3 linked regions of the Caenorhabditis elegans genome follow. The protein of the gene in region 2 interacts with the protein of the main gene of each other region in a pairwise test. Each region holds a gene or a part of one and is shown on either strand. Other genes may lie near its edges.

What was found.
Region 1: the proteins of F43G6.8 (region 2) and jkk-1 interact in a two-hybrid assay, tested with the Caenorhabditis elegans proteins (one large-scale study listed by BioGRID).
Region 3: the proteins of F43G6.8 (region 2) and twnk-1 interact in a two-hybrid assay, tested with the Caenorhabditis elegans proteins (one large-scale study listed by BioGRID).

The regions. Positions count from the first base shown.
Region 1 is NC_003284.9:5,364,538-5,376,324, reverse strand, and holds jkk-1 (Dual specificity mitogen-activated protein kinase kinase jkk-1), read right to left. Parts: upstream 7,858-11,787; 5' UTR 7,661-7,857; coding exon 7,627-7,660; intron 7,010-7,626; coding exon of another isoform or gene 6,990-7,009; intron 6,971-6,989; coding exon 6,863-6,970; intron 6,713-6,862; coding exon 6,632-6,712; intron 6,585-6,631; coding exon 6,474-6,584; intron 6,426-6,473; coding exon 6,313-6,425; intron 5,895-6,312; coding exon 5,778-5,894; intron 5,732-5,777; coding exon 5,576-5,731; intron 5,517-5,575; coding exon 5,352-5,516; intron 5,081-5,351; coding exon 4,919-5,080; intron 4,877-4,918; coding exon 4,784-4,876; intron 4,736-4,783; coding exon 4,676-4,735; intron 4,623-4,675; coding exon 4,515-4,622; 3' UTR 4,157-4,514; coding exon of another isoform or gene 4,043-4,156; 3' UTR 3,998-4,042; coding exon of another isoform or gene 3,899-3,997; 3' UTR 3,737-3,898; coding exon of another isoform or gene 3,700-3,736; 3' UTR 3,294-3,699; coding exon of another isoform or gene 3,264-3,293; intron 3,217-3,263; coding exon of another isoform or gene 2,589-3,216; 3' UTR 2,509-2,588; coding exon of another isoform or gene 2,291-2,508; intron 2,231-2,290; and 1 more. Other genes in the region: sek-4 (mitogen-activated protein kinase kinase), read right to left, coding at 177-262, 310-465, 510-665, 721-873, 1,028-1,255; F35C8.8 (uncharacterized protein), read left to right, coding at 3,700-3,736, 3,899-3,997, 4,043-4,156, 6,990-7,009; F35C8.5 (Cholesterol 25-hydroxylase-like protein), read right to left, coding at 8,752-8,997, 9,040-9,144, 9,191-9,280, 9,950-10,227, 10,281-10,368, 10,415-10,510. UniProt on the Caenorhabditis elegans protein: Dual specificity protein kinase which acts as an essential component of the JNK signal transduction pathway. May phosphorylate jnk-1.
Region 2 is NC_003280.10:11,809,124-11,817,150, reverse strand, and holds F43G6.8 (RING-type domain-containing protein), read left to right. Parts: upstream 1-3,058; 5' UTR 3,059-3,122; coding exon 3,123-3,370; intron 3,371-3,913; coding exon 3,914-4,039; intron 4,040-4,311; coding exon 4,312-4,589; intron 4,590-4,637; coding exon 4,638-4,777; 3' UTR 4,778-4,857; downstream 4,858-8,027. Other genes in the region: pap-3 (Poly(A) polymerase), read left to right, coding at 576-2,240; F43G6.7 (Skin secretory protein xP2-like), read right to left, coding at 5,609-5,766, 6,250-6,355; F43G6.10 (Small hydrophilic protein), read right to left, coding at 6,969-7,126, 7,682-7,796.
Region 3 is NC_003284.9:5,789,116-5,799,367, reverse strand, and holds twnk-1 (SF4 helicase domain-containing protein), read right to left. Parts: upstream 6,038-10,252; coding exon 5,874-6,037; intron 5,771-5,873; exon of another isoform or gene 5,632-5,770; intron 5,563-5,631; exon of another isoform or gene 5,442-5,562; intron 5,373-5,441; coding exon 5,303-5,372; intron 5,258-5,302; coding exon 4,977-5,257; intron 4,931-4,976; coding exon 4,655-4,930; intron 4,519-4,654; coding exon 4,446-4,518; intron 4,398-4,445; coding exon 4,287-4,397; intron 4,237-4,286; coding exon 4,102-4,236; intron 4,046-4,101; coding exon 3,972-4,045; coding exon of another isoform or gene 3,945-3,971; intron 3,882-3,944; coding exon 3,828-3,881; intron 3,814-3,827; exon of another isoform or gene 3,670-3,813; intron 3,440-3,669; coding exon 3,307-3,439; intron 3,262-3,306; coding exon 3,136-3,261; intron 2,675-3,135; coding exon 2,462-2,674; intron 2,416-2,461; coding exon 2,311-2,415; downstream 1-2,310. Other genes in the region: F46G11.4 (Inner membrane protein), read left to right, coding at 611-669, 1,741-1,819, 1,882-1,947; F46G11.2 (uncharacterized protein), read right to left, coding at 9,116-9,331, 9,373-9,569, 9,618-9,714, 9,770-9,932, 9,978-10,070, 10,126-10,242.

The sequences.
Region 1 (11,787 bases), on a different chromosome or scaffold from region 2:
TAGAGACGTAGAGTTTCGAAAAAAGCTAATTTTCAGCAAAAATCTGAAATGCCCAGCATGCTCAAGTCACAGCTACCTGGGTGCCTAAAAACAATTTATAATTCGAATGACTGGAAAAACACACAAAAATTAATTTCCTTCGACAAACAGAATACAAAAACTTTTTAAATGCTTACGTCAATGTAGCAAGCTCAAAAATGGTGATTCCCAGTGACCATATATCACTTTTGATCGAATATCCTGGTGAGTGAACCATTGCTAGCTGAAATCTTGGTTTCACGTTAAATTTTTTGTTTGTTTTAGTTATACTTCATTGATTTCTGGAGCAGTATATTGCTGACATCCCGTAGCTGAAACGGCAATGGAGTCTTGAAGAATTCCACTTATGCCAAAGTCACAAATTTTGACTCTCCCATCATAGTCAATCAAAATATTCCCTGGTTTAATATCCCGATGAATGATTTGCTGAAAATTAAATTTTTTAAAGCAATTTTTTGAATAAAAATAACCATTTTCTCCTTCAAAAACCACATTGCGTGAATTACAGAGCAAGCGATACGTCCTATTACAAACTCGGGAACTATTCCGCCTCGTTTCAGTACTTCTTTTTTGAGAACGGATGCACTGAGCGCCATTTCCTCCATGAAGATATGAATTTTCACGCACTGTAATGTGTGTAATTTTCGCGTATACCGTTTTTTTAGTGTTCTGAAAACATACGTCTTTATACTTGTGAACGTAATATCCAAAGAAATGCACAATGAACGGACATGGAGCACATCCATTGATTACATTCACTTCTCTAAGTCGTTTTGCCATTAATTTATTTGTTGAATCTTCATCTCCGCCTTGAGGTAATCTTACCGCTACATCCTAAAAAATATAAAAGTCACTAGGTGACGTATTTTGAATAGTAATTTCATTAATCCAAAATGCAGTGGATATATCATCGTTTTTCTATTAGGATGGAACTAATTCAACTCCTTATTAACCACAACTTTTAATTTAAAAATCTTTGTAAACTAACTTTTCTTGCAATAACCATTCCATTGTATATTAAGCGGTACACTGCTGATTGTCCTTCACCACTTCCAATTCTTACTCCACCATGAAGCATATCTTCCGGAACGTTCAGATTCCTACCAGACAGACAGATATAACCAAGAGCACCGTTTTTCAACACCTCGGGAATTGTTTCTCTGAGCGCTGGCAAATCCAGTTTTGGTCTCGGAACTCGACGTCCGAACGTCGGCATTTTTCCTGAAAAAACATTTTGTAAGGCAACCGACACAAGGAGAAAACAAAATTAAACTCTCATAACATTTTGTGATTCCAAATTATTACAGAACATATTTCTGCTAGTCATTTGAGGAGAAAATGTTACTGATAAGAAACTGGGTGTCACCAGTTGACAATATGAATGGGGTGCAAACAAAGAGTAATCGATAAACAACGAATTTTTTGATAGACGATGTAGGAGTTCCAAAAACAACACCAAAAACGGCTCTTTTTTTGCAGAGATCTTGTATGTGCCACGGGTATGCGTTTGAATTTTTTTGGGCATCGCGATGACCTCCGTTTTTTTTTAAGTGTCCCATGGATTATTGCTTGTACCTCGCCGCTAGATAGATGAATACTTGTGCTCTTTCTTTAATCTCTCTAAAAAGGGATTACCGTTTCTCGATACAAGCTCATTGATTGAGTATAGTTCGAAAATTGCTAATTGTCGTCATTTTGAGGTGGTTTATAATAAATAAAAATTTGAATATCATCGCTACAGTAATAACGATTTTTTCTCGTTCTGTCTCACTTCCAGGAGAGCTGACATCGGAGAGATTGTATCAGTTCCGGAGCTGACAAGAAGCCGTTTCCAGAGCAGGAATGGAAATGAATGCCAAAGGTGATTCCTTCAAACCTCATTTGCCAGACTACAAGGTATTTTCATAAGCTGCACTCTAAGATGCTCTGAAGCTCTTCCAGAAAACGCGTACTGAACTCATCTCTGCCAAAATGGAAAATCAGAAGTTAACATTTCAAAAGGAAATGTAGTTCAGTTTTTATGTGAAATCAGTTCCGCAATAATTCAATTTTTAAAAATTCAATTTTCAATTTATCTGAAGCTTTATTTTAAATAAAATTTGAACAAGTTAAAACAATGACTAGAAATATATAAATTATAAAACTATGGCATGTGCTGATTTTGGAAGTGGAGTGGTGAGCCAGAAAAGTTCTGAAAAAAATTGGCATTTTTCAAAGTTTTCTAGATTTTAATTTATCATCACGTTCTCACCACGTTTTATTCACAACTTTTACTGCAAGTTGAGCGATTTCAAGTCTCGAGCAAGACGTAGACGCAAATGTTGGAAGTTCGGAAGGATTCTCTGGGTGCGGAAAGTTGTTTGAAAAATGCTCGACGATTTTGTTGACTAGCTCAGCGTCGGCGGGCTCCGCAGTTTTGCAACATCAGCTTGAAGAAAATGGTGTAGATTTCGAGCATTTGATCCAGATCTGAAAAACAAGAAATTGGAGGATTCGGGCGATTGAAAATAAAAAATCAGAAATTTGACTAAGACTATGTTTCCACTGACGATGGCATGCAATCTTCAAGCAGGTCCCTCTTCCCAATCAACGTTGTAATTTTCTCCAAGTTTTTGATGCAGTCAATTTTCAGCTGTTGCCTTGCAATTCTCTCCCCTATGCAAATCCACGATGACCAGGTTCTTTCCTGGGTAGGTAGAAGGTCTTTGTGCTTCTCCTGGGCTATGACAAAATCGTGCTGGTGCTGCCAAGATATGTAGTTCATGGCTTCTTGATACTTGTCCATGAAGTTTACGTGGATCTCAAATTAAGATCTCACATCCACCTCTATGTCTGGAGATTTTTTGCAGGATTGTCTCCATAACTGTCACCGATTTCTTTACAAACTGATCCACATTTTCAGGCATAACTTCTTGAACCAATTGCTCCAAATTGTCCTTGATCGCACTTGTTTCGACAAGAAATCCTTCGAACGCTGCCTTTTCGTCGCGATTCCGTTGTTCGTAATTTGCATTATATTGATGTTTCTTTCTCCATTTTTCTTCAGCAGAAATTGGGATTCTGTTGTTCTTACGACTGCATCTTCAATGCAAAAAGTTTTTGCGGTCGAAAATGGTGATATCAAAGTTTTGAGTGGATTCCTTCAAGTTCGAGTGGCTTCCTTCAAAGGGTAAATGTCTGGAAAGTTTTAAAGTTGGAAATTGTGATAAGTAGGTGCTGGTTACCATAATACTGTAGTTTGGAGCAGCAGGCATTGTGCTCTTGATAGCAAGTTATAATTACTGTAAGAAAAATAAGTGAGAAAACTTTCTAGATTGAAAATTTTCAAGATTTGATCAAAATAGAAGTAAGAAAAAATTTAAAAAACTAGCAAGAAAAACTATTCAGAAATGTTGTTGCAAATCCGCCCCACGGACAACCGGAAGGCGTACAGTTAGCGTCTTTTTTTGGCGGTGGCGGCAAAATAGAAGGTGTTATTGTGTTTATGTATTTCTCGTCTAGCACCCTCTTACTTTTACACACTCTCTCACTCTCTTTCTCTTGGTGCCACTTTATCATATCCGGCTCTTGTGGCAAACTTACTTTTGATTTTTTTTTTCTTTTAAAATCCAATTATACCGTAGTTTACCGTACTCTCGATTTTCAGAAACTTCGCACAGTATGGCTTCATCACCAAGTTCTTCCTCCAGCCAACTCCGTAAGTTATCTCATAACAATTATTTTGAAAAGCTCTAAATTTCCAATTTTCAGATTAGGTGAGCAAAGTATCGAAGGCAGATTAGCGATGCAAAAAGTGTACCACACTCGAAAGTCACTTACAAATCGATAAAATTTAAGCAAAAATATATCAAAATTTTAGAGAAATTGCACCACGAACGTCGTCGGAAAGCGGAAAGTGAGGAGCAGCAGAAACAGAACAGAAACAAGAACAGAAAATTAAAAAAAAAACGGATTATCAGTAAGTTGTCCTAAATGAAATTTTAATTTAAACTTCAAATTTCAGAAATATCCCGGAGCCCAGTTGCAAGCCCAGTTGACAAGCTTGCAGCCTCCTCAAAAATTGAACCAGATTCTAGGAGCTTCCCCGATGATCGAAGGATTTTGTGGACAAGAATCGGTAGGTTATTGCTTTCTTAGAAAACTTTAAATGGTCCTTATTTTGCAAAATGATATGCGTTAAACTACCAATGCTTCGCAAAATAGAACAGCCATTAAAACAATTTACATTTTTTTGAGAACTTTTATTACGATATTCGTCCATTTGGACAGATTTTTAGTTTGTTCGTTTAAAAAACCCAGTATTTCTTTTTAAATCATACCTAGAATTTCTTCAAAAAGTGAACTGGAAGCAACCGAGAAACAAATATTATGCAGAGAAGAGCACCAGTGATGATATCAGACTCGTTTCAATTTTAAAAGAATGAGAATTTCTGAGAGAACACGAAAGTGATAATTTGCTTAAAAGTCTTCAATAATTAGTTGACACAAGGCGTGTTTGGGATCGACTTCAATTCATCTTCGGTTTTTGAAAGTCGAATCACGTCGACGAACCAATCCGCAACTTGATTGCATTTTCCATTGATCTGAAATTACAGTCAGTTTTTGTACTGAAAAATTTGCAAAAAAAAACACTTACAGCTTTGAACTTGTAAGCACTTCCACTGGCAGGGTCGTAATCAAGGTAGAAATCATGCTTCTGTAGAAAAACCTTTGTTTTAAAAATTTCTCCAACCTATTATTTTACCATTAATTGCCTATATTCAGGTCTTTCTCGAACATCCTTTCGCAAGCATAGGTCCAAGAATTCAATGAATAGAGGTGAAAAACTTCGCTTTGTCTGAAACATAGCGTATTGAAAACGTAACGGAAATTCCGAAACCTCTTCTCTCAGACTTGGTGATGGCAAATTCAGGTTTGCAATAATGGTGAGAGTTGTGAATTCCATGTCATTTAGTGGAAATGGGTAGAGTCCAGTGACAAGTTGGTAAACAGTGATTCCCAATGACCAGACATCGCTTCGAACGTCGTATTTGGAATTCGTCTGCAATTTTTTCAAACTTCATTATTTACTTTTAGACCTATTAACAGGAGTGCCCCGCGGCTCACTGTTGCGATCGGGACGTGACCCACATTTCGGGTCAAGATTATGTTTCAAAAAAAAAAGTTCAAAATTTTTTTTTTGACATGTCAAGCATGATCAAGCCGAAACTAGTAGCAGGGAACCGGGGCAAGTTGCGGGAAAAATCGGGCGCGTGGAGGGCGTCACCGCCACCGGCACATTTTTGTTCACAGATCAACATTCAATTTCATACCTCGATAGTTAATCTTTCAGGAGCCATATATGGCGGACATCCTGCACTTTTGGAATGAGCCATCGAATCAGTCATAAATCCACTTATCCCAAAATCACACAGCTTTACATTGCCGCTGTCATCAAAAAGGATATTCGAGGGTTTTATATCGCGATGTATAATCGACTGAAAATCCGGAATTAGTTGTTTAGTTTGTGCACAGCAGTTTCTCTTTAATCTCTTACATGTTTTTCCTTGAGATAATCCAGTGCACTAATCGCCGAGTAGACGATGTGACCGGCCACAAACTCGGGGAAAAAATCCAATTTTGAATGATAAATGCGACGCAGCAGCTTCTCACAACACGCTGACATGATTTGCATACAAATTTTTACAGACGACTGGAAATGGAGGAATTGGATATGTTAATAAGAATGTCACACTTACATCAAACATGAAATATCCGTAACTGGTGACAATGAACGGAGAATTGCACATTGACATAATTCGGACGTCACGAAGAATTCGTTTCAAATTTTCCTTATTGTCATTTTTGTACATAGTCTGAAGAAGACAAAGCTGAGGGAACCGTTATGATTCTGTGTCAACGTATTCTCTAGAGTCGCATTTATCAAACTACTGTTCTCACATTGAAAGAGGTTCAGAATTTTTACTGAAATTTGTTTTCCACCAATTTTAGAGGTCTCTCCTCCTCTCTAACGCATTTGCTTTGCATTGACAATTGAATCAAGAAAAACGAAAACAATGGAATTTCTAATGGTCTTTAGCACCACTACAATTTTTCGCCCCCGCATGATAACCCGTGAAGGACCCCTTCTCTTTTGAATTGCGTATGCAACGATTCTGTCAATCTTTTTTCAAGAGTTCATACTGGAGCCATGCAAGATTTATTCTATTCAAAGTGGTCCGGATGTGTATCTCAACCATACATCACTGCCTCCGTGTGAGGGGTAATGCTCACCTTCACAGCCATCAATTTTGAGCGAACCGTCGCAGATTCGACTACACCACAAGAGCCGCTTCCGAGCAGGCTGATGATGTGAATCTCGTTTGGGTCGACAACTTGCTTTTCTCCTGATAGGAAAAAGATTTTAAAAATTAAAGCTTTGATGTATGTCTTACCATCAATTTCTAATGTTCCCGATTTCTTGTACCCTTCTAGAAACTCGTATTCCAACGCATCTTTCTCAGTATCTCTTCTGGATGGCGATGGTTTCATGGAAAGCGGAGTAACTGAAATTGTATGTATGTAATAACTAAAGGTCGTTCTCCAGGCACACATTTTCTTTCCATGGGGCTTGTTAAATACCCAATGTTATTCGGCCGTTGGTGTTGAGGACTTGAAGATGTGGAAGAGCATTCTGTAAAACAAAATTTGAGGGAATTAAGAATGACAACACATACGTGTTTTTTGGAATTGAGCCGATGATCTCATCACAAAGAATAATTAGATGGAATTTTAAGAATAATGATGCCATTTGAAGGCTAGACACCAATATTTCAAGACAAACCTTTATGTTTTTGATCTACCGAAGTTGATCGGCGATCTCTCGGCCGTAGCCGAACCTCAGTCAATCCCAACTTCAAGAATTTCCATTTTCTCACCCTCGTCTCCAGATCTAAAATCAATTATTACAGACTCAACACGGAGGAAATGAGATTGTGTGTTTGGCGCTGATTGACACTTTGGTTATTTTTAGTAGTTTTTGTGGTACCTATTGCCCGAGAAGCCAAGTACTTTTCTTATCAAGAGGTATAAGTTCGTTGGCTACCTTGTTTCACTAAAATTTAGGTTACAGGTTGAAAATTAATTGCATCAGCATCATCTGGGTATCAGTCAATGAGCGGTTACCGAATTTGCCAATCGCTGAAATTTTCAGCAACCGGCAACCGTCGGCTGCCGAGGCCTTGGCGTTGTTCAAACATATATTTCTGTTAAACTCATATTTCAGAGTGTTTTTCGAGGAAAAAATATAATTGTTTTATTTACAGTGACGATATTCGCAATATTTAGGGTCTTTGAATGCGTATTTACAAAACAATTGAAATTAATATCGAAAGTTGCCGAAGTTGGCGAACGATAAAACTTTCGGCAGCCGACAACCGATGATTTCCGAACCTAAGGCTACTTTCTGGCAATCAGCAACTTGGTTGACCTGTTTTGCAGTTCATTAAATTTTCATCAAAGATTCTAAACGGAATATACATAATCTACGAATATTTTGCTACGTACTCAGCCGACAATAAACAAATATATGAAAAATTATATGTTTACCTCGTAATCTTTGCTGAAAACAGACATTCTCCATTTAAAACCAAGGTAGAGTTGACAACAAAATAAAAGAATGAAAGAATGACCCGTTGGCCGTCGTCGCTCGTTCCGAAATTTTAATAAGAAGACGTATGTGAGGTTCCTCGCGGCAGCGACAGCAGCAGCAGCACCACTAGCCCAATGTAGTAGACGAAATGGCAAGACACACACAGCTATCGATTCTGAATGCACAATGCTAGTCGAAGAAGCGCAGGGGCTCCCGGTCTGGCCCCTCTTCGCTCTCATCACCCACATCGTGGAGGAGGAGCCGTGAAGAAGGAGAAGGGGGAAGGCTATAAATGCACACACATACTAGTGAAAATATGCGGGAAGAACTGCTCCTTTCTTCGGCTCTTTCTCTCTTCTCGCGCATGTCTCATTTCCAATTGGTCCCCCCATCATCCTCTATTTCGACGCGTTTGGGATGCGTGAATCTTTGCAGCTTCAATGGGTGGTCCTATAAGAGAGAAAGGCTAAACGCTAATGGGCGATTTGAATGGGGGCAAGTTTGGAGGAGGTCTTTTTGTTGCTCATCTTCTTTGTGCCGGCAAATAGAAGTTACACGATGACACACAGACATGCGCCTCTGCACAAATCTCATCAGCGAGAAAATTGGGTGAAGCATGTTCTGTTGAAGACGATTCGAGGTTCCAAATAGAAACGATTCACCTGGTTAAAAATAATACTCCGAACAAATGTTTGAGTCACAGTTGCTTGTTTTAAAACTTGTAGACATTTTTGGCCACGTTTCAGAATTACGATTGTTTGACTATGAAAACAAAATTCAATTAAAAAAAATAGATTTACCACAATTTGGACAGGTTAACCCTTTTGGTGGGGGATATTTCAGATTTAAAATTATTTACATTTCAAGCAACCTTTTGAACTTTTGGTCAAGTCTCGTGTTCTTAGTTCCTTTTGCAAGATCTCACGTTTCAATACCACATTTCTTCTGATTCAGTTACTTTCACATTTTCCGGTCTGTCTGGGAGCAAACACAAAGTTCCGAAAAAGTCTTGCTCACTCATGCACATTTCAACAGCAAAAAAAGTTCGTTTATTGCGTTACGGGGTAATACATGTACGTGGCTTAGTTAATTTTGATTAATCCTTTCTCGTCTTCAGCTGAATAGAGCCCGAACTTTTTGAATTTTGCCTCGGTCATCTTTTTCAAATCGGCGTAGGTAATATGGTAACCCATGAGTCTGTCGAGATAGTTGAACCACGGTTGGAAACATGTCAGTGGTCTCAGATGGTGCATGTCATGAGCCGGAGCACCCGAGTAGAACCAGAAAATGCGATGAAGAGCAAATGGGAAGTCGTATCCAATGTGAACCTGAATTCAACTTTGTCAACTTTAAAGGTCAAATTTTAATACCTCATAAGAGACGCTCTGGGCGATAAAGAACCAAATCCAGTAGGTCAAGCAGTGAGTTGGGAAGATCCATGGGATAGTGGTGATGAATGTTCCAACAAAGAACAGCTGAAAAAACTTACTATTTTAGTTATAAATCTCAATTTTCAAAAACCTCAAATGGGTGAAGATGTTGTGCAGATGCTGCGAATGGGGATGAGTACATATGATGAACAGAGTGACACCAGCGGTAGAGCCATTTTACCTGCAAAATGTTGAGTGATATTACCATGATTTGTGTATAGGACAATTATGACTATCAGTGATTCATTCCACTGATAATATAATTTTTGAATCGCTGAAAAATATGTAATAGCTTTATGAAATTCAAACTGAAACGTGCTTAACGTTGGTAAAAAATTATTTCGAATCTTAATTTCAAGTGAGAGAAAAGCTGCTAATGAAGAAATCAACATTGATGTAAATTATGACGTCATAGCATAAACTAAAATGCATTATGTGACGTCAAAATATACATTTTAATAAACCTCTTTGCATACATGGATAACCAAATAATAGGAATCGTAAAAATAAACACTGAAACGTTTGCAACAATCAAAAAGTTCCTATCAGGACGTTTCGACAAAATGACAGGTTCCGCAATATGAATTAGTACTCGGAATGTGCAACGTTTTGGAAACTTTTGCCTAAACGAATGTAAACCTGGTGGAAAATTGGCGAGCTTTGCACAACAAAAAATTATTTGTAGCTGGTGAGTTCCCGATTATATACATTCAGAGAAGGTTTTGAATTATATTGTGAAACATGGTCTAATTAGTTTCAATGTAACTCGATTTACAAGTTATTAAAAACCGTGTTTTATGACTACTCCAATCATACTTCACACATGCAACCGTTGTTTGTTATCAATTACCTTGTGATTGATATAATGGAACCAGAAATATGTGAAATCAAAGGCCAGGAAAAATATAGCCAGCTGTGAAAGCATTTCAAAAACTGTTGGTGCCAGGATAGGAAGCTCTGTATCAGGTACCCAAATTAACTGGACAAGTGCCATCGGGTAAATCCACAGGAGCTGATTCCATCCTTGAAGCTTCAGTGACTTCTTTATCAAATCCCAGGTCACTTTTCGATCTTTTTGGATTTTTGCATCTTTGAAAAATGGAACGTTGCACAGAAACACGTCAATAACTGAAACATTTTGTAGTTTAATTCAATGTTATCAACCCGTGGTACGTGCTTACATGTGAAAACGGCTACCCAAGTGTAATCGATTGAGAGCGCATAGAACGGCGGGAAAAGCGGCGAGCTTAAAATGTGTTCATTTCCATTCTGGAATCGAATCATGATTTACAAAAAAAGGTTAGGTGAAACTAACTTTGATCCAATCCCATGCCGGTTGAAGAAATCGTGTATTCTTCTCGTATTCCAACTGATCAACTGTTAAATTTTGAACAGGGTATAGGTCTAACATCTAAAAATACCACACAATTGTAGCTCAAAATTCAACAGAATACAAAAAGAAACAAATAAATTGAAAAATAAATATGGTCTGAGAAAATGAAACTATGCGTCTGGTTATCATAAAAATGGTTAATGATAAGAGAGCAAGTAGAAGCCAATTGAGAGACGTATGATGATGGAAAAGTACTGAAAGCAAAGTATTTAAATTTCAACAAAAATAACTACTAGACTACAATTATAATTACCATTCATGGACATAAGACATACAATTTTGAAAAAAGCTCGTTAAAATTATTTATTTCCTAAAATACATGAAAACAGTATAAATTTATAAACACCCATAAAAATAAGTATGTATGTCATTTTCTTTGAAAGGTGTTAGATTTGTATAACCTTCAAAAGATTGAACGAGTAAAACCGCGTGCAAAATAACCGGTATGTCTACTACTAATCAGTTATCATCACCACTTGTAATGTCATTCTGATAACTAAAAAATTATTTTAAACACGTGTGAATTATAATGAACAAGAACTTTACAAAACACAGTGGTTACATCGCTTTCAAAAAATGATGTACAGGTACAGAACAAAATGTTTGAAATGTGTGTTTTGAGCAGTGTAATTTTTTTTCAATCACTTTTCAAATTTTTTTCTTTATGTTCATAGTTTTACGAAGGTTTTTTCTTTTTCATTTTTGATACTTCATGAAACTTTTCACGTGGAGTCAATGTTTATAAATGTTGAATGTTTCGAAAAACGTATTTGAAAACCTAAACCTGATAACCTCAGAATATAAATCAAGCCTAAAAACTAAGCCTGAAGATCTAAACCTGAAAATATTTATCATCACTGAGCCTAAAAAGGCAGCTTGAAAACAGTAGCCTGAAAGCATATTTCTTAAAACGCAGCTTAAAAATTAAGCCTCAGTTCTAAAGATTAAGTTTTTTTTTGGCTAGAAAGATGAAAAATGAACTATAGTATATTGTGACCTGGATATTGAATTTTTTAATGTTTGATGTACATTTCTTTCTAGTCCAACATTTTTTATACACTTTCAGGTGACCCGGATATGTTATTACTTCAACATAGTGCACACAACTTCCTTCACGGCATCATCACCGCTCATTTCCCAAAAAGGCTAATGAATTTTTTCCTTTCGGCTTCTTGATGTTCTTGATTCAACAACAAGCGCTTGCAATCATCAGGCAAGTACAATTTTTAATCAATCCTTATCGTAAATCTTTTTCACTTTACAATATCTTTCCTTTGGTTGCTCGGCTATACTTG
Region 2 (8,027 bases):
AATTATCAAAGTTGTTCGTTTCCTCTTAACCTTTGCACCATTCTTCTCGTAAATTCCAGACTAACCGAATGTTTTTGAAAAGCAATTTTTAATTTTTGTAAACATATTCTGCAATTTTTAAATTCTGTAATTTCCTTTCAAATTTTTAAAATTAATATTGTATTTACCTTTTAATTTTCATTCCAAATTGTGTACCCACATAACTTTTATTTCAAACTTCATTTTTATTGCAAGAATAATTTACTGTCAAAAATGTAGATTTTTCTTTAGAACAAAATTCAACTTGCATATTCCAAAAATGATTATTTTTAATTGAAACGAAATTTTTTTTAGCAATTCTTTCATTTAGTGGGGCAATTTACAAGAATTTTTTACCAGTTCATTTTAAATATTTCCTTTTTGTTTTTTTTGTGCAATTCCAAAATCCAAAATTTGTGTTTCCAATTGAAATTAAGATTTTCAAACGATTTCATTTACTCTTCGCCTTTATTGCCCTTCTTTACCCGTTCTCCTATCCTCTTACTAACATTAGCATTTTTTAGAAACTTTACGATCTCTCATTTACCCTTTGTAAAATGACATCTGTAAATACCCTCTCTGTGAACATCACTGTCCCAATCACTCGCACATTTGGAGTTTCTCAACCAATTTCCACTGCTCTCCCAAATGCGAAAGACTTGGAGCTGACGTCATCACTTCAAAAAACACTCAATCAATACAACAGTTATGAGCCACAGGAGGAGACATCACAACGAGTCAAAGTACTGCAGAAGCTCAATGGATGTGTCAAGCAATGGATTCAAAAGATCACAGAAGCAAGATACCCAAAGGATCAATTGTTCAATGCCGGTGGACAGTTAATGGCTTTTGGTTCGTATCGCCTCGGAGTTCATTCAAGTGGAGCTGACATCGACACACTCGTACTGGCGCCACGACATGCCACACGTGCTGACTTCTTCTCCAGTTTCAAGCAAATGCTCGCTAAGGATCCAGAAGTCACCAATCTGTGCGCTGTGGAAAACGCTTTCGTTCCAATCATGACAATGAAGTACTCTGGTATTGAAATCGACTTTCTTTTTGCTCGACTTGCCTTGAAGGAAGTACCTGAAGATTTGGATATCCTAGATGACGCTCTTCTGAAGAATCTGGATCAAGAGAGTGTGAGAAGCCTGAATGGATGCCGAGTTGCTGAGAATTTGTTGAAGCTAGTCCCAAACCAGGAAAACTTCTGCATCACTCTTCGTGCCATCAAATTGTGGGCTAAAAACCATGGAATCTACTCGAATTCAATGGGTTTCTTTGGAGGAATCACATGGGCAATTCTGGTTGCTCGTGCTTGTCAGCTTTATCCAAACGCGAGTCCATCCAAATTGATTCAGAAAGTGTTCTTCATTTTCTCCACATGGAAATGGCCGGCTCCAGTGCTTCTTGATTTCATCAGCAGTGATCGGATGGATTTGGCTCAGCTCAATCAATTAGTTTGGGATCCTAGAAGAAATCAATCTGATCGATACCATTTGATGCCAATTGTGACTCCTGCATTCCCACAGCAAAATTCAACTCACAATGTGTCACGGTCATCAATGAAAGTGATCCAGGAAGAAATGAAGGATGCATTGATCACATGCGACAATATTCAGAATGGAAGTTGCAATTGGATGGATCTTCTAGAAGAAATCAACTTCTTCAGTCGGTACAAGCACTTCATTTCCTTGTCAATGACAGCTGAAACTGAAAAGGATGAGTTGGCGTTTGGAGGATTCTTCGAGTCAAGGATCAGACAACTTGTGCTCATTTTGGAGAAGAATCAGGGAATCAAGCTTGCTCATATCAATCCAAAGAAGTTCAAAGCTGCTAAGGATCCAAAGAAATCAGTTTGGTTCATTGGTTTGCAATTTGATGAGAATGTGAAGAATCTGGATTTGACAAAGGACATTCAGCAGTTCAAGAGAAACATCGATTATCAAGCAAAGTCTGTGAAAGATATTGAAGCGAATTGTGCAGTGGAAACCGATTTTTCCTATGTGAAGAGATCAGATTTGGCTCAGACGATTTCTGTGAAAGATCTGAAACAAGGAAAAATGTACAAGAAGCCCGAGAGCAAGGATCCAGTCAGCAAGAAGCGGAAAGTATCAGAAAATGCTCCAAGTGTTCCAAAAAAGCAGAAATTGGATGTTTCCGAGAAGTCTTCAGTGGAATCGTTACTCAAAAACTTGAAGAAGAAGAGCTTAATTGTTTGAATTTCTCCTATTTTTTGTTTCTATTTATTTCTATTCATTTGTATTATTTTCTGGTGTTCTTAATTTCTGGTGTTAACAATTTCTATTATATTATGTTCCTAATTTCAATAATCTTTAATTTAATTTTTTAACTTGTGCTATTATCTTCTTGATTCGGTTGTAATACTTTCTGGTTTAACTATTTCTTTATTTCAATTTTTTAAAATTAATAAATATTATTAAAACTCAATTCAATGTGTTGGAAACTTAACAAATAATTGAATTAAGACGGAAACCAATTTTTTTGGTCAATTTTTCGAAAGAATTTGATTATTGAAACTTTAGTTTTAATGGAAATAATTGTTATTCACCATGTGCTCAAAAATATATCCAAAAATGAACTTAATCCCCGTGAATTTTCAACAAAAACATTTAGTTTTCAATGGATTTTGTTCAAAAATTTCATTCATGAAATTTTTCTAGCCCTTGTGATTTGGTTTTCATGAATGTTACATGAAAGCGTTTTCTATTTCAAAGCTACGGGGCATTTTTCAATTTAAATTTTATCCGACGACATCAAAAAACCGAGATATAAACCATCATGCACCTAGACCGCCAGATTGAATGACGTTGTTTCAGCACGAGAAATCTCTGACTCTAGGCTCCATCTTTTTTCTTCATCCCTCCCTTCCATCATCTTTAGAAACCTGAGGTTCTGCCCAATGTCTGGCACCTCCAGGCGCTAGCCAACTATTTCCATTGTTTGTTTCATCGTCTATGTCTCTATCGCTCTCCGCTTCCCCCAGCCACATGATTCCATTCTATGTTCGTATAGTTTCACTTTTGAGAGAGCGCTTTCCAATCTCCCCTCTATTCGATATTTTTTATCCATTAAAATTTGACATGGATCACGGAAGACGTCGACTTCACAGCGGTTCGACTCCGAGAGGAGGAGAACGTCCTGCAAAACGGGAGAGAATTTCTGTGGAAGAGCAGCAAAGTCAGGAGATAAGGAATTTGAAGAGAAAGTTGGAGGAGGCTAGACAGAGAGAAGACAAGTATATTAAGAATGAACAGTTACATCATACGGCTATGAGAAGCAAGCAACAGAGAATTGAGAGAATGGAAAAATCAATGGAAAGCACGAATAGGTTGGTTTTGGAAATACGTGTGATTGTGATGGAATGTTTTTGAAATAAACATTGAAAATTTTATTTTAATTTTTTTTAGCTTATTGTCCTTAACTTTGACAGCTTATATCTCTGTTGTCATTTGTTCTATTTGAAATTTGTCAATTGACAAAGTATTAATAATTTCTTTTTCTAAAATTTTGTAGTTAATAGTTAACTGATAACTTCAAAATGAACTGAGATATATCTTTTCAAAGTGAACTAGTGGAGGTGCAATGCTAAACGGTACACAAATTTTATGCACAAATTCAATTGTCAAAACAATTTGATGTTTTTTGAATTTTAGGTGATTACTTTAAGGTCACCAACTTCGAGGTCTGACTGATCTAGTTTTCAAACTGTTTGACCTACAGAAATTGCGGGAAATTGACACTGTAACCTCACACAAATTTTAACATGCGAAATATTATTTTCTAGGCTCATTGATAACATTGAGAGCCTAGTTTCATTTTTATTTTTCTAGATTTTCACAAAATTATACCTGTCAAAAGAACCCGATTCTAGAAAAATGTACGCCACACAATGCCGCCTGAATGACATGGAGAATATCTATGATGATTTGGAAATGGAGAGCAAGATTATGGCAGACTTTATAGATCACTACTATGATTCTCGGAATATTACTGAAGAGTGAGTTTGAAGAGGGTAGGAGGACGATTAGTGCAATACTCCACAGTATCTATAAAAGTTCTACGTAGGCACATGATGCCTCCCTGAAGACCTTTGTGGTAGCCTACTTATGTCTGTCTCGTACCTATGCAAAATCAGATAAATTTCATTCTTTTAATTAACTTTCATTTAACTTTAACTCATTTAACTTTTTACAAAGTTTGCCCCTACGTAGGCGGGCAAGCATGGAACGAACCTACATATCACGTTCAACCTAAAATTCCACATTTCAGGGATCGAGATGAATTGCAGGACAAGCTGGACGAAGAAGCTGCAAATTACAGGGATCTCGAAGACCGAATCAAGGAAGTTAGGCACCGAGATCGTTATATGAAAACTGTGGAGACTGAGAGAAAACGAACAACGTTCTATCGGAAGAAGATGCTCGAGTTGGCCGAGCAGCTGCAGTTTGAGCAGCAGGAGGTGACTGGAGAGACTCCTCTGTGGAAACTTTGCGAGATATGCGCGCATCAGTTTTCCCACAGTGATGAGTATGTACCACGTGTGTTGGGTAAGAAATGGCTGAAATGTTCACTTTTCTGAAATTCCAATGATTCAGTATGTGGTCACACACTTTGCACGTCTTGCATCGAAAAACTGGACGTTGGAGACGGAATTCGCTGCCCATTCTGCAGAACTTGGACCAATATGAAACGAATTGAAGCTCTTCCAAAAAACTTTCAGATTCTTCAAATGTGATTGCCATAATAATATTCTTTTGAATTATAGCTTTGAACTTGAAATTTTGTGTCTGTAATAATGAAGTGTATTGTATAGTGATAACATTTTCTAATTCGAATAAGGATTAAAGGATTAAAAACTTGGAAATTGCTTATTAATCAGCTGATATTTTTGACGATTTATGAGGCTACGGTATTTGGTCTCGACACGAAAAATATGATCCTTGAAGGAGAATAATAGTTTCCACGTGGTTATCGTTTGTACAACATAGTCTTACAGGAATCATTAAAAAAAGAAACTTGATAAAAACCACTATAGAACATATCAATTTTCAAATTTCTCTTGCAAAATCTCATTCTTGTAGCTTCAGATTGCAAAAAAAATCACATTTTTGCAAAAACTGCTTTTCCGCTTGCAATCTAAACACATCGAAGTTTCATCGGTGTTCAATAAAACTTTAGGTATCAAAAACGAAGTTATTTTTTCAGATAAAACCAAGCATTCAACTAGACAATTCCAGTCCTATTTCCCGGCATATAACATGTAGTTCTAGATCCATCCCTACTCGTGGATGGATTTATGGTTTCCCAAATAGGCCTGGTAGCCTATGAACGGAAACTCCTTATTCGAATATAAGTTTCTCAAGTCGATGATAAACGTTTGAATTGGTCACTGAAAGCTAGTTCCCTTCACCAGATGCTTCTACCATGCTCAATAAAAACATTAATTTATTTTACAGACAATCATGTTTACGAAAAGAAAATATAGACGCCGATACAATCAAATGAGTGGAAAAAAATTGAAAAAAAAAATTGAAATTTAGCCATTATAATCCCGACTTGTGTGAATCTACTGCTGATGATCCAACTGTTCTTCTTCGGCGGCAGGAGCTGCGACGGGGGCTGCTACGGCTTCTGGCTCTTGTTCAAGTTCATCTTGAGCCGCTGCTGGTGGATCTGGTGCTTGACCTGGTTGCTGGTGAGGTGGCGGGAGCATGGCGGGGTCAGCTGAAAATTGGAGGTTGTTGGAAATCTCTTTCAAAACTCAAAGTTGAGGTTTTCTGATTCAGAATATGACAAAAAAGTTGGGGAAACTTTGGCAAGACTTTGTTTGGGCCACGTTTAGGATGTTTTTGAGCTAAACTTGGGTGCAGCCTGGAAAAAGTTTTGCAAAAATTCGGCCCAAGAATTGCCAACCTCTGAAGCCTAATTGTTACAAACTCGGACAAAAATTGACCGGAGATACGATAATCCTGAATCTTAGAACCCAGAAGCCGGACGTCCACTTTAGTCCGGTTCACCTAGCCTAGTCTAGTGAGAGAAGGGTTACGGTTGATCTAGTGAGGACTGACAAGTCGTACAAACGTTAGCCTATTAAGGATTTTCAGCTAACTTACTCAAAAAGATTTAGCTGCGGAAAAGAAACTGGAAAACTGCTTCTCATGGAGATCGACTGGGGGAAGTGTCGGAGTACTGTGAGCCTTTACTTACCAGGTCCTTGAACTGGCTGATCCCCTGGGGCTGGTGGCTGGGATTCTAGTGATGGCCATGGTCCCGGTCCGATCTCGCTGCTTCCGCGGGAAAAGCATCCGCCCATTTTGAACTGAAGAAAATCAATTTTTTGTATTATTAAAAAAGACAGAAGTTGAAAAAACCAGAAGAGAAATATAGAAGAAAAACTGCGAACTGTCGGGAGAGGCAAAACAAGAGTGAGCGGCGGAAATGAGTGGCTATCGATCGTTGCCCTCTAGGAAGATGCGCGGTCAATGAACAAATTTCTGTTAAAATTCACGCGCCGAGTAAGTTTGATCTACCGAAATTTTGTAGGTCTAGACAAAATATAGGTTTTTTTGTTTTTTTTTAATAAAAAAAAACAACACATATGCTGCAAACTTATTTTTCCGCGAATGCAAATTCCAGACAAGATCTGTTGAGTTTTTAGACTGGGCGCAGGTAATCAGAATCACTGCTCTTGTCCCAACGATAACTGAACTAAAAGTTAGTTGCCTTCAAGCGAATAAAACGATGTACTAAGACTGCCCTACAATCCCGACTACTTCACCAGATGCTTCTAAAACTCTCAATAAATACATTGATTTATTTTACAGACAATCATGTTTACGAATAGAAAATATAGACGCCGATACATTGATATGATTGGAAGGAATTGAAATAATCGAAATTTAGATATAATCCCGACTTGTGTGGATCTACTGTTGATGATCCAACTGTTCTTCTTCGGCGGCGGGGGCTCCGACGGCTTCTGGCTCTTGTTCAAGTTCATCGTGAATGATTTCCACTGTTCGTGGATTTGGTGCTTGACCCGGTGGCTGGCGAGGTGGCAGGAACATGGGCTGGGCGGGTTCGGCTGAAAAGATAATTGTAGTGCGGATTATTTGAATATTCTTATTTTTCAGAACTCAAAATGTTTATTCTCCAAAATTTCAGATATTCCGGAATAGGACCAGAAGGTTGACTAGCTTCAGAAGATGGGAAAACTTGGGCAAAACTCGGGTGAGACTTTTTTCAGACCACCTCCAAGTTTAGCCCAAGTCTGATCCAAACTTTTCATGTGATTTTCTAGAAAACATTGGCGAAAATTGGAGAAAGCCTGAACAAAGTCTTCCCAACAGTGGGCTAAGTTTTGACATCCTCTGAACCAAGTCAATATTTTTATGTCAAAGTAGGACAAGAAGTTGCCGCCGAGTGCCGAAATAACCTGAAGCCGGGCGTCTCTTTCAGTCCAATTTACCAAGCTTAATCTAGAGATACTGGGACAAAATTCGAAAGGCCGTACTAAGAGCTTCGCCTATTCCTAGATTTCGAACGACCAGGTGTTAAGTTTCTTTTTCAAATTTATTGCGGGATAGAACCCGGAAAACGTTTTCCATGGCGGGGGTTACTGTAGGAGTACTGTACTCACCTGGATCTCGAACTATAGGATCCCCGATTCGTTCCACTTGTGCTGGTGGCAGAGGCGGCTGGAGATTTGGTCGTTGTCCGACCTCATTGTTTCTGCGGGAAAAGCATCCGCCCATTGTGAACTGAAAAAAACTCCATTTTAATAAATAATAATGAAGAAAAAAAGTAATAGCAAGAAGAGATAAGTCAAAAAAAATTGTATGTAAGGGCAAAATAGGGCAAAATTAGTAAATAAGAGAAATGAGTGGCTATAGATGCTTGCCCTCTGGGAAGATGCGCGGTCAACACATTTTTAATGTTCAAATTCTCGCGCCCAGTAAATCTGATCTACAGAAATTTTCTAGGTC
Region 3 (10,252 bases), on a different chromosome or scaffold from region 2:
AGCCACTTTGCCGCTGCTCTCGTACACTTTTTTGTGTCTCTTTTCCCCTCTTTTCTACCTTTTTGTCCTTTTTCACTTCCGAAGGTTTTGGCAACTCACCAACGCGCACAGGGTCCTTTCCATTTTCCATTTATAAACACATTAGATTGGCTTCCCGTCTATCGGGGACCGCTTTCCGTTTTTCCCAACTTTTATTTTTGTTTGAATGCGTGTTTCAACGTAAACAATTAATTCTTCTTTTCCTTCAAAACTTTTCCCATCTCTTTCTTTGTTACGTTTACACAATTTTCATCAAGTTTCATCAAATTTATACCCATTTCCTCCATCTTTCAAAAGACCTCACCGAATCGCATCTGCGTATTACCATGTAATATGATCTTGTTCCAAGCCTGCACTTTTCTCTCGTATTTTTCCAGTCGATTTCCGTACGTTTTGCTTTCAGTTTTATTACCTTTCTTTTTTTGGTATAGTGCCAAACTTATTGTCTATCTTTCTTTTTTTGTCCCATTCTACTTACCTCAAGATTTACGACATTGCTGAGATTTATGAGTAATTCCACAATTGATCACTTATTCAGAATTGGTTGAATGATGCATAATAAACCAACTTGATGGGTGCCGTTATTTCTCAACTCGGATTTAACCAACCGTTCTTACTTGCATTGGCCATGTAAGTTTTTTACTTACTAAACTATATGAATTTTTGAAACACAAAAATGCTAAACAGTCAATTAAACTTTTTATTTTTGTCCATTGCGTATGAATTCGAAACAAAACATTTTGAGAAATTACAAACGTTTAGTGCTCACAAGAAAAGCACTTCAGCAAATTTTTTTTCGATTTCCGATCTAACTAAGTCTTTGCCAATTGAAAGGACAGTTTAAACAAGTTTCAACGAAAAATTCAGCAGCAAATGAAAAATTTTGAACAAGAAAAATGAACCAAAAAAATGAATATTTTTCAATGTATTTTTCGCTACTCTGAAGGGTTGTAAAAGTGCTTTTAAATTTGAGCTAACTTTCGTGAGATAAACCCCATTCCTTGTCATTGTGTGTTAATTGATCTTTGTTGAATAACTTTTTGAAGCTGATACAATTTTCAGAAAATTGTCAAAACCATTTTCAAAATTAAAAAAAAAAACTGTGTAACTTTGTATTTTTTACAAATACACACAGTTTCGCAAATTAACTGTTTAATCGCTCTGGTCAAGAATAATGTCCTTTTGAAAACTAGAAATTTCTTGGAGAATGGCTCATAATATGATGTTCTAATATTAAAAATAAATACCTATTCAAATTGCCCCAAAATTATCATAACGATGATATGATGATAAAGCAACATCTCTACAAGTTTTCAGAGTTTTGGTAATTTGCCAAATTTTCAAACCACTTTTTTTTTGACAGTAAATTTTTTAAAAATACAGACAATTTTTTAAACGTTTTGTTAAAATTTTTCCCCACAAAAGCGCTTTTTAACAAATTCCATATAACTTCAAACATTGAAAACTCGAAATTTTCCATTTTTTGAAATTTTTCCAGCCAAAAATAAATTGCCAACGCCCATTTTTTGAATAAATTTGTTTCCTGAAAACGCTTTTTGACAGCTTCTCAAAACTAAACACACGCAAACTCAATGAATTATGTAACGGCTTAGCACATATCTTCGTCAGAATTGCCACTTATTCAAGCTTCTTGTCGTTTTTCTAGAGCTGTTCAAATATTCAAATGTTTTTTTTTTCCAGAATAGTAATTCTTCTCGGGCTGACAGTATTTGCCGTTGGTCATGATAACAATGAAACCGTCTGTGATTATGTTCCAATTGTAAGTGCAAGTTGTTAATATTTAAAAGAAAACCTTTAATTTTTTACAAAAAAAAATTACAGCCACAAATTCGGATACTTCCCACATCTGCTCCGCCTCATCCTGCACCTCCACGAAAAAACATGTGACAAATTTTGATTAATTTTTTGTTTTCGATTCTTGATTTCCAATTTCGCTTTCATTCAACATTTTTTTATTCTCATCGTCGAGTAATGAAAAATTTATTTATTTGCAAACTACAGAAGCTTTGTGTTTTCGCGGTAGTGTTTTCGAGATCGGACAAAATAGGGAAAGACGTCAGAATAATATGTGACCTACGGAGGGAGAAGGTGGATGAAATGGGTCAGGAGAAAAGGTATATTTCTTCATCAAGTATCAGCGTAATAGGGAGAAAGGAAAAAGCAGAAAAATATATTTAAAAAATAGAACTGAATAATGACACTCGAAAAACTTGGAGAAATTGTAAAATTAATTTGATTAAGAAGAAAATTTTACTTTGGAAACTCTACAACTGTATGAGAATAGGTGGATGGGTTGAAAACCATCTCAAGTTGATCGCTCTCCACTCGTCGGCCATAGTAGCGGTTTTTCAGAATCTGTAATAGAATCCTGGATGGTCATATCATTCTACTAGAAGCTTACGTATAAGAATTTTCGGAACTTGGAACGGTCACGATCATCACGCTTCCGCTGAATAGCAATGACATTATCAGCTTCCTGGGTGACTCTGGCGGAACCTCCAAAGTGTTGCACATCAATTTCAGTATCACCGTCAGTTTTTCTGGGATGAACAACCATAGTGATGTGAATTTGATTCTGAGTAGCAAGTTGACGCATGTATCCGACAAATCGATCCTGAAAACGAAGGTTCAAGAAGATTTATATGTTTAGAGGAGGACTAAGGGTTTTGGGTTTTTGCATGTACATATATTTTCAAAATATGAACAAATTTTGTAATGATACTCAACAAACTGGTTAATGTTTTTTTGGAGAAGTGTCATAATATTTACGAGGTCCAGAAAAACACCCTCTTGATAGCAGTTGGGCGGTCGATTTTTCAACTTTTTGCCATTTTGCTCCCAATTTTTGGGATATCCGAATACAATTGTTGACACAGAGGTTTTTTGTAATGCTGAATCCGATTCCCATATTATTTTCCTATTAAAAAGTTCCAAAATGCCCTAAACCGCTCAAATGGAAGGGGGGTCCCAGCAATTGGGCGCACTGTAGTTTTTCTCCTACTAAACCAAATGTTCCCATTTCTTGTAATGTTAGTTTATGAACCAAAACTGTAAGTTGATGTAAAAAGAAATAACCTGAAGGTGGAATCTATCAAGGCCACTTGACTTCTCATCTGCCATCATTCCTTGGTTAATCAAAAACTGGAGATTATCGATGACAACATGTTGGATACCACTGTTTTCAACGTGAATACGAATTGCCTAAAATGGTATTTTATGATTCAAACCCTGCTCCACTATTATTACTCTGACTATTTCATTTATGGACTTCTCCATGAACTCTTCGGAGTCAAGCATTGTCAACGCCGAACTCGATCTCTCGAATCTATCCAACCATGAATTTATCGAGTTGCTATACTCTACTCGATGCAGCGGAAGTCTGAACCAGATTGATTGGGAGTTGTGTATGGGCTACGGATGTCTGGGCACAATCAGAATAAGCATGCCAACACTCATCCACATACCCATTTCCGTTTCCTTGAACAAACTACCGTGCAAAAACACACTTTCAAGATAATCGACAATTGCCTCGCGCACCACGAAAAGCACTAGCTAGTAACCAAAATGAGCAGTGAATGAGAAATGAAGATGTTCTACAACTCAAAACTGTGAGGTGGTAAAATAAAATAAATAACAGGTCTAGTTGGCTACTGGTTTCATAAGGAAATTATTGAAATAGTTTTTGATTCACTTATTATATTCAAAAACCAATTTAGAAAAAACAAAAACTATTCCAGATAGATCCTAATACTTCTAAATATTCTTACTTGATGCCATTTTTATATGAGTTAGTGCGCGCGAGGCTTCGAAGATGTGAAGGACTGCAGACAAAAACAAATGTTAGTTAAAAAGTTGCAAGCCATTGAAAAATAAAATAGAATAACAATAGAAAAAACACTAGATCATCATACCCAGCGTATTGCACAAGCATCCAATGGAGGATCTTCTTTTCAGGCATCTCGAAACTGCAGAACAGCGTGCGCACCTAGAATTAAACCAGAGATATTAGAAAAACTCAGCTAATGCTAAAATTTAAAATACCCCTTGAGTAAATAGATCCAATGAGTATTCACATAAAAATGTAGTTTTTCCGTTGCCGGTTCCTCCGGTTAAAACTGTCATCTCCCCTGGCCGAAGCCCGCCAAGATACTTATTCAAAACAGCAAATCGTTTCCACTGAAACAAATTATTTAGACCGAAATTTATCTTTTTTCCTTTCGTCTTACTTGTCCAAATCCAACAACGCGATTTGTCGAGTTGAGAAGGTCTGAACGGATTCCTTCACGCATGTCTAAATCTGTCATTGAACGGAAACCACGCTCTCTCATTCGAACCACCTAAACTATGAAAGTTGAAAAAAAACAAGAACAAAATGGCAACAGTACCGAGTTAGATAGTGAGTTCCGAATGAGCCGATGATCACCATTACGAACCAATTCAATTGGGCGTTCTTCGTTTCTGAACTTACTCTTTTGGTTTTGTTTTCCGAACGTTCTCTATATACTAGGGCTTCCAAGCAGGCTCCGGAACGCCACCTGTCTTACGCCGCAATCCGCGCCTTCCATGATAGTCCTACTGAATACCATAAACTCACTTCACAAGAAGACATTTGAGGGTGTTCAAAGCACTTCCCCAGTCTTTGGCATAACTGACATGCTGAACCGGGAACCACAGATAGATCTTGTCAAATTCCTCCAGATACGGAAGCACGAGTGGATCCAAAATTTCTCCATGTGGTAGAGCAAATACCAGAGCTTTGGTGGCTTCGTAGATCGCCAAAGCATCACGCTCATTTGTGGTAATGACTACACTTCGATCTGACAGAGTTGCCATATGAAGCCCGAAAACTCCATTGAACTTTTGGCGAACGCTGGAAATGGGTAACTATGAAGGAAGACATCGGAATTTCTACTTACGAAGTTTCATCTGGCAGTGGATAGTTCTCCTTTTCCATTCTGTCTCCAACTTTACGGATCAACTTCAAACCCATTGGAATGCGTAGCCGGGAAGTCATTCCACGATACCGTGGAAAAAGAATGGCAGGTTGACCATAGGTGTCGGTTTGGACACGAACGTTGAAACGAGCAAGAGTTTCGAATGAAATGTTCTCAATTCCAAGCATCCCTTGGAGTTGCTTGAAAATAGTGAAATCGTGGCCACTCAGATCAGTTATGTCTAAACTGCTGTCCCAGTAGCGCTGAAAACGGAAAAAGCTTTTTTGGGAGTGAAAAAAAATTCGAACCTTGATATCCGGATCTGGAGGAGCACTCATGGCTTCTGAAGCGTCAAGTCTTGGAGAAGGCGCGTCAGAACTGAAAACGAACCAAATGAATTTATTTATGTTAAATTGAGCTCAGTCAAAAATTATGTTCATATTTCAATTAAAGTTCATATCGAAGATACTCGACTGAAAATGAATCCAAGTGTCAAATTACGTAATAAGACCTTTTGAATACTTTTCAAATATTTCGAGGGGGGCTCAAACGATCTAAAAATATGGCTAAACTAAGATTGGTAACTGCAATTATATCTAAATAATGAACAAAAAGCGAGAGATATGCAACTTACAGCAATAATCCTAATATCAACTCTTTTGCAAAATGTTCAAAAAACTTTTACGATGGAATTTGCTTTTTGAAATCCATCTTATAAGTTAACACCCTCTTTTAGAGCCTTCAAAATTAAGATTCAATTTTGCATTCAATTTTGCTTGAGCTCGGTAAAAACGATTTCATCAATATTCAAAAAAAGCGTATGTGAAATTAAATAAGATTAACATAAGCACAGGATGCAACACTCAACACTTTCTAAACCTGAAATCAAAGTCTGCAATCTGATTCATCGATTCAGACGCTGTCACCGATCTTCCCGTCCGGGGTGCTTTTCTCTGCCGTAGTCGTCTTCCGGTGAAATATTCGTCGTCGCTGTGATCAAATGGAGCTTCGTCGGGGCTTGGCAGAATTGTATAGTCATCCATATCAATCCATGACACTGCTTTAGAGTTCAATGGTGGTAAAAATCCACTACTGGACGAGGATGGTGCTTGATGGAACTGATTTTCTAGAATTCGACGCGATATTATTAGAAGTGGGGGAAAAGCTGAATGAATGGGGTGCCAGGAACTTGAGCAGCCGGAAAAAGTGCCAGAAGTGAAAGGTTCTGATGTTTACAAACCAGTCACGATGGGTACAAAACAGAAAAATGCGCAGGAGAGGCACCCCGCAAACAATAATAGTTCCCCCCACCCTAAAAAATGCTATTGTGCTCGTCCTTTGGCCCCCATTCTTTATGATATTCGACAATTACACAGCTTATTTGGCAGGAGCCCTCACAATTGCTGGCTAGAGACGTTTTGGCAAAAGTTGTTAGATTCGACAAGTCTGCGCGGTGTAAAAATAAAAACATGGTGGCGGAACTAGTAATTCGGGAAAATTTCAGGTGTTTTCCAACAAAAAAACTGCATCCGTTTCCAAATTTTTTAAAAGCATATTAGCACAAGGGAAACGCAAATAGAATGCTTAAAGACATACCGACTGGATACCCATTATCTTCGTCTGAGCTTGAATATAAATACGATTTTTTTGACATCCTAGATACCGGTCGGGACTTTGAGCGATGCATTGTACAGTAATAGATTTGAAAAAACCAGCAAATGAAATAGACAAGTAAGTTGCAACTTGAATCAGAGTTCGGATCGAATCAATTCAAGTGCAAGTGAAATTGACCTCGGGTTAATCGGGGTGGTTCGGAGCAACGGGGCGAGAGAGAAAAAAGGTTGGCGGGGGCACCGACGCCGTACACCTCACTTTTTCGAGCAATAATCCTATGGTTGAGTGAAGGTTTGGTGGAGCAAAAATGCTCTTAAATAGAAAGCTATCTTCGACTTTTTTGTGTGCTGCTTCTCCTCCTCAACCTCCTCGTTCAGACTCGCTTTTATGTTGGGGCAGCGTTAAAGGCTTCCTGGATTTTTGGTGGCTCACTAAATCGAGGTGCCCCAAGTGCTTTCATTGTTTTTCTCCTCTTCTCGTCTTATATATCTTTAGATATTACGAAAAATAAATTTTTTTTGGAACGAAGTGAACCGGTTTACTTTTGTTAGGTTTGGCTATTTTCTGAGGCAACAGTATTTTTTGAAAAAGTATATTCTGGGGGAATACAAATTAAAATTATACTTCCTCACAGTTACAGATTCACATTTTGGAAATTTTCAAACAAAATTTCAAAATCAGAAACTATCAACCAATGAATATAAAAACAGCACAACATCATTAAAAAACGTGAAAACCGAAACTTCCATGAAAACCGAATATGACAACTGCTTGGCACACTATTAAGCAAACAAAAAAGACTTCTTCTCCCGGAAGTCACTTATGTGCATGTTTCTGGAAAACATGACAAAAACTGGACTTACTCATCGCGGAACTTTCCCACTTTCGATGTCTTCTTCCGAGTATCGATTTTGTCCATCAAATTCAAATAGCTCACACGATCGTAGAGATCCGAGTCGAGCTGAAAAAAATTTGAAAAATACAGTACCATTTCTAAGACTTACTTCGTCTTCCATGGTTTTGAGCTGCAGTTTGCTAATGGTTTTTGACAAGGTACCTGGAAAAAATAAAAAAAGATGTTTCAAGGAGATCTAAAATTGGAAAAAAAAACTAGGGAATAGTTGCCAGTTGTCGTCTAAAGACTAAGACAAGAAAATGTCTCATAGGACGGAATGATGGGGGTGGGGTCGAATGGGATAAGAGAAGGAAGCTCAATTACTTGTATTGTCGACAGATACACCTTTCGAGACGGAAGGAAATGTACAATCGTTTGAGCAGGGACGGAGCCCAGCTATGATTGCACGTACCAAACAATTTTTATACTCCATCCCACAATGTATATCCATCATCTCAAAAGTATACATTCCGTCTTCCTCCTCCTCCTTCTCTTTTTACTCCAACATCTCCCGACCATCATCGTTCTATTATTTTTCCCGTTGGATTGGCACGAATTGGTATACCCAAATTGGTACACTTCTTACGACTAACAATGAACCCGTCACATACCTTTCCTTTTTCTTTTAATAGTATGCATCAAGGGATGGAAGGACTTAGATTGGGAATCGAAGAAGAAGCAACGTCTGCACTTTCAGGATTCCTCTGAATGCCGCTCCTTGTTTGTTCTCAACCGCACTTCCTAGTCTACTGTTACTTTTTTACGCTCCATGGGTCACACGTGTACAAGATTGTCTGCGACCGTTGGACTCGGTGTGGGGGCTCGATGGCAGGAAAATTGCTGGCTCGCCGTGTAGCAGGAAACACCAAACTACGACAAGTCTAGGTATTCAAAAAATATGTTGCTGTCAAATTTTTTGAAAAGAACAGCTTGATAAAGTTCTCTTTCAAAAACCGTTTTACTGTAAATCATTGAGCTTTTTAATTATAAGTTATTTCCTTCAAGAGATTGCACTTCTTAAAATGTTCGCAAAAATTGTATTTCAAACTCGGAAAATTCAATTGTTTCTTTTTCTGATTCAATTCAATAATTTCTATTCATTTGTGATCCCAAAGGCAATTAGAGATTTTTTAAAAAATAAGTTTTCTGTTTCAAAACTTTTTCGAATTGAACTATTTCACCAATTGTCAACATTTATTTACAACGAAAGTTTCAGCCATTAAATTTTATTTAAAGTGTTAAAAAATGTTTTTCTTTCAAAAATAGAATATTGCCGAATGAGAAAACTGTTTACAGTTACGTGCTCATAACCAAACTTAAAAACCAGAAGTATCAAAATTTTTATATACATACAGTCACAATGTGTCAATTAGTCAGTTCTTCCACTAACAGATTTGGAAAAAAACATCGATATGCAAATTTGCCCTATTGTCCAAATCAAATCACACATTTTCCAAACAGGACCATTAACCAGAGTATTTCTTTTTTCCAATTTTGCGTTCAGTAAGTTTTTCATTTCAAAAGAATCTTGATTTATTACACCCGTCAATCAAACAACTGAAATTTTAAAAAATAAGAAATGATAGAAAAACTGTACATATGTGGATAAGATCTATACACCAAGTCCCAGAAAATGGACGCACTGTTTCAGACCGGTGGTTTCAATTTCATCTTTCTCATCTATGTCACTATCAAAGTTTCCATAGTAATCATCAGTATTGCCAGACGATTTTTTAGATGAATCAGAAGTTTTTGAAGGTTTCTTCTTTTCGTCGATCTGATCGTAGTAATCAGGAGATCGTCTGAATCGCTTGATCGGATTGAAGTCCTGAAAAAATTTAGATTTTAAAAATTCAAGTTGTTATTCACCTTGAGGAAATTGAATTTATCTGTCGAGAAGAATATTCCATTCTCCAACTGTGGTGCTTGAATCGGTTGTAAAATTAGTGAAGGCACAGATTTGAAAGCAAGCGGCGGGGCTGGTGGAATAGTTGGAGGCGCGAAAAATGGCATTTGAGTCCAGCTAGAGACAAGATCATTTCTGATTTCCAGCGGTTGTAATGATTCTGTAAATATTTTAAATATAATGAAAAGCTTACTTGAAATAAACATACTTGTCTCAGGGTTGCTACTCCACGTTTTGGATCCGTGTGCTGTTTGCACGGGAATCACCGGGGTAATAGATGGGGTATCATAATCCGCCCAGCGCTTCTGAAATTGTTAATAATATTCTCATTGTTCTAAAATGAGAAAAAGAAAACCATACTCTATTATCATCGTCTTGTAATTGTGCAGGATCGTCCATCATTGGTTTTTGAGGCTCATCATCAGTAGGCTCATCAAAATCGGGGATCGATGTCACTGGTGGTTCTGTGGATGGAGGTGCACCGCCTTTTGCATCTGTTGGCTTTTCAATAGATGTCATGAACCTGAACTTATTTTTTCTATAAGTTTCAATGTTAAAGCTAACATACTTATCAATCAATTGGAATCCCTTGGAAAATAATTTACACTGCGCATCATCCATGCCTTGTTCTTTGCATACAGCGTGAACTGCATCAGAGTTACTGGAAATTTGATTTACACTTTATTATATTTGTTTTTTTGTTTGCACAACCGTACCTGCTGATAGTTTTTCTAAGCTTAGCATCTCCAAGTATTTGAGCAGCAAGTTGTATATTGCCAAATGTCGGATCTTTTTTGAAGTTTTCAGCAGAACACGAAATGAATCGGCAAATACTGAAATTCC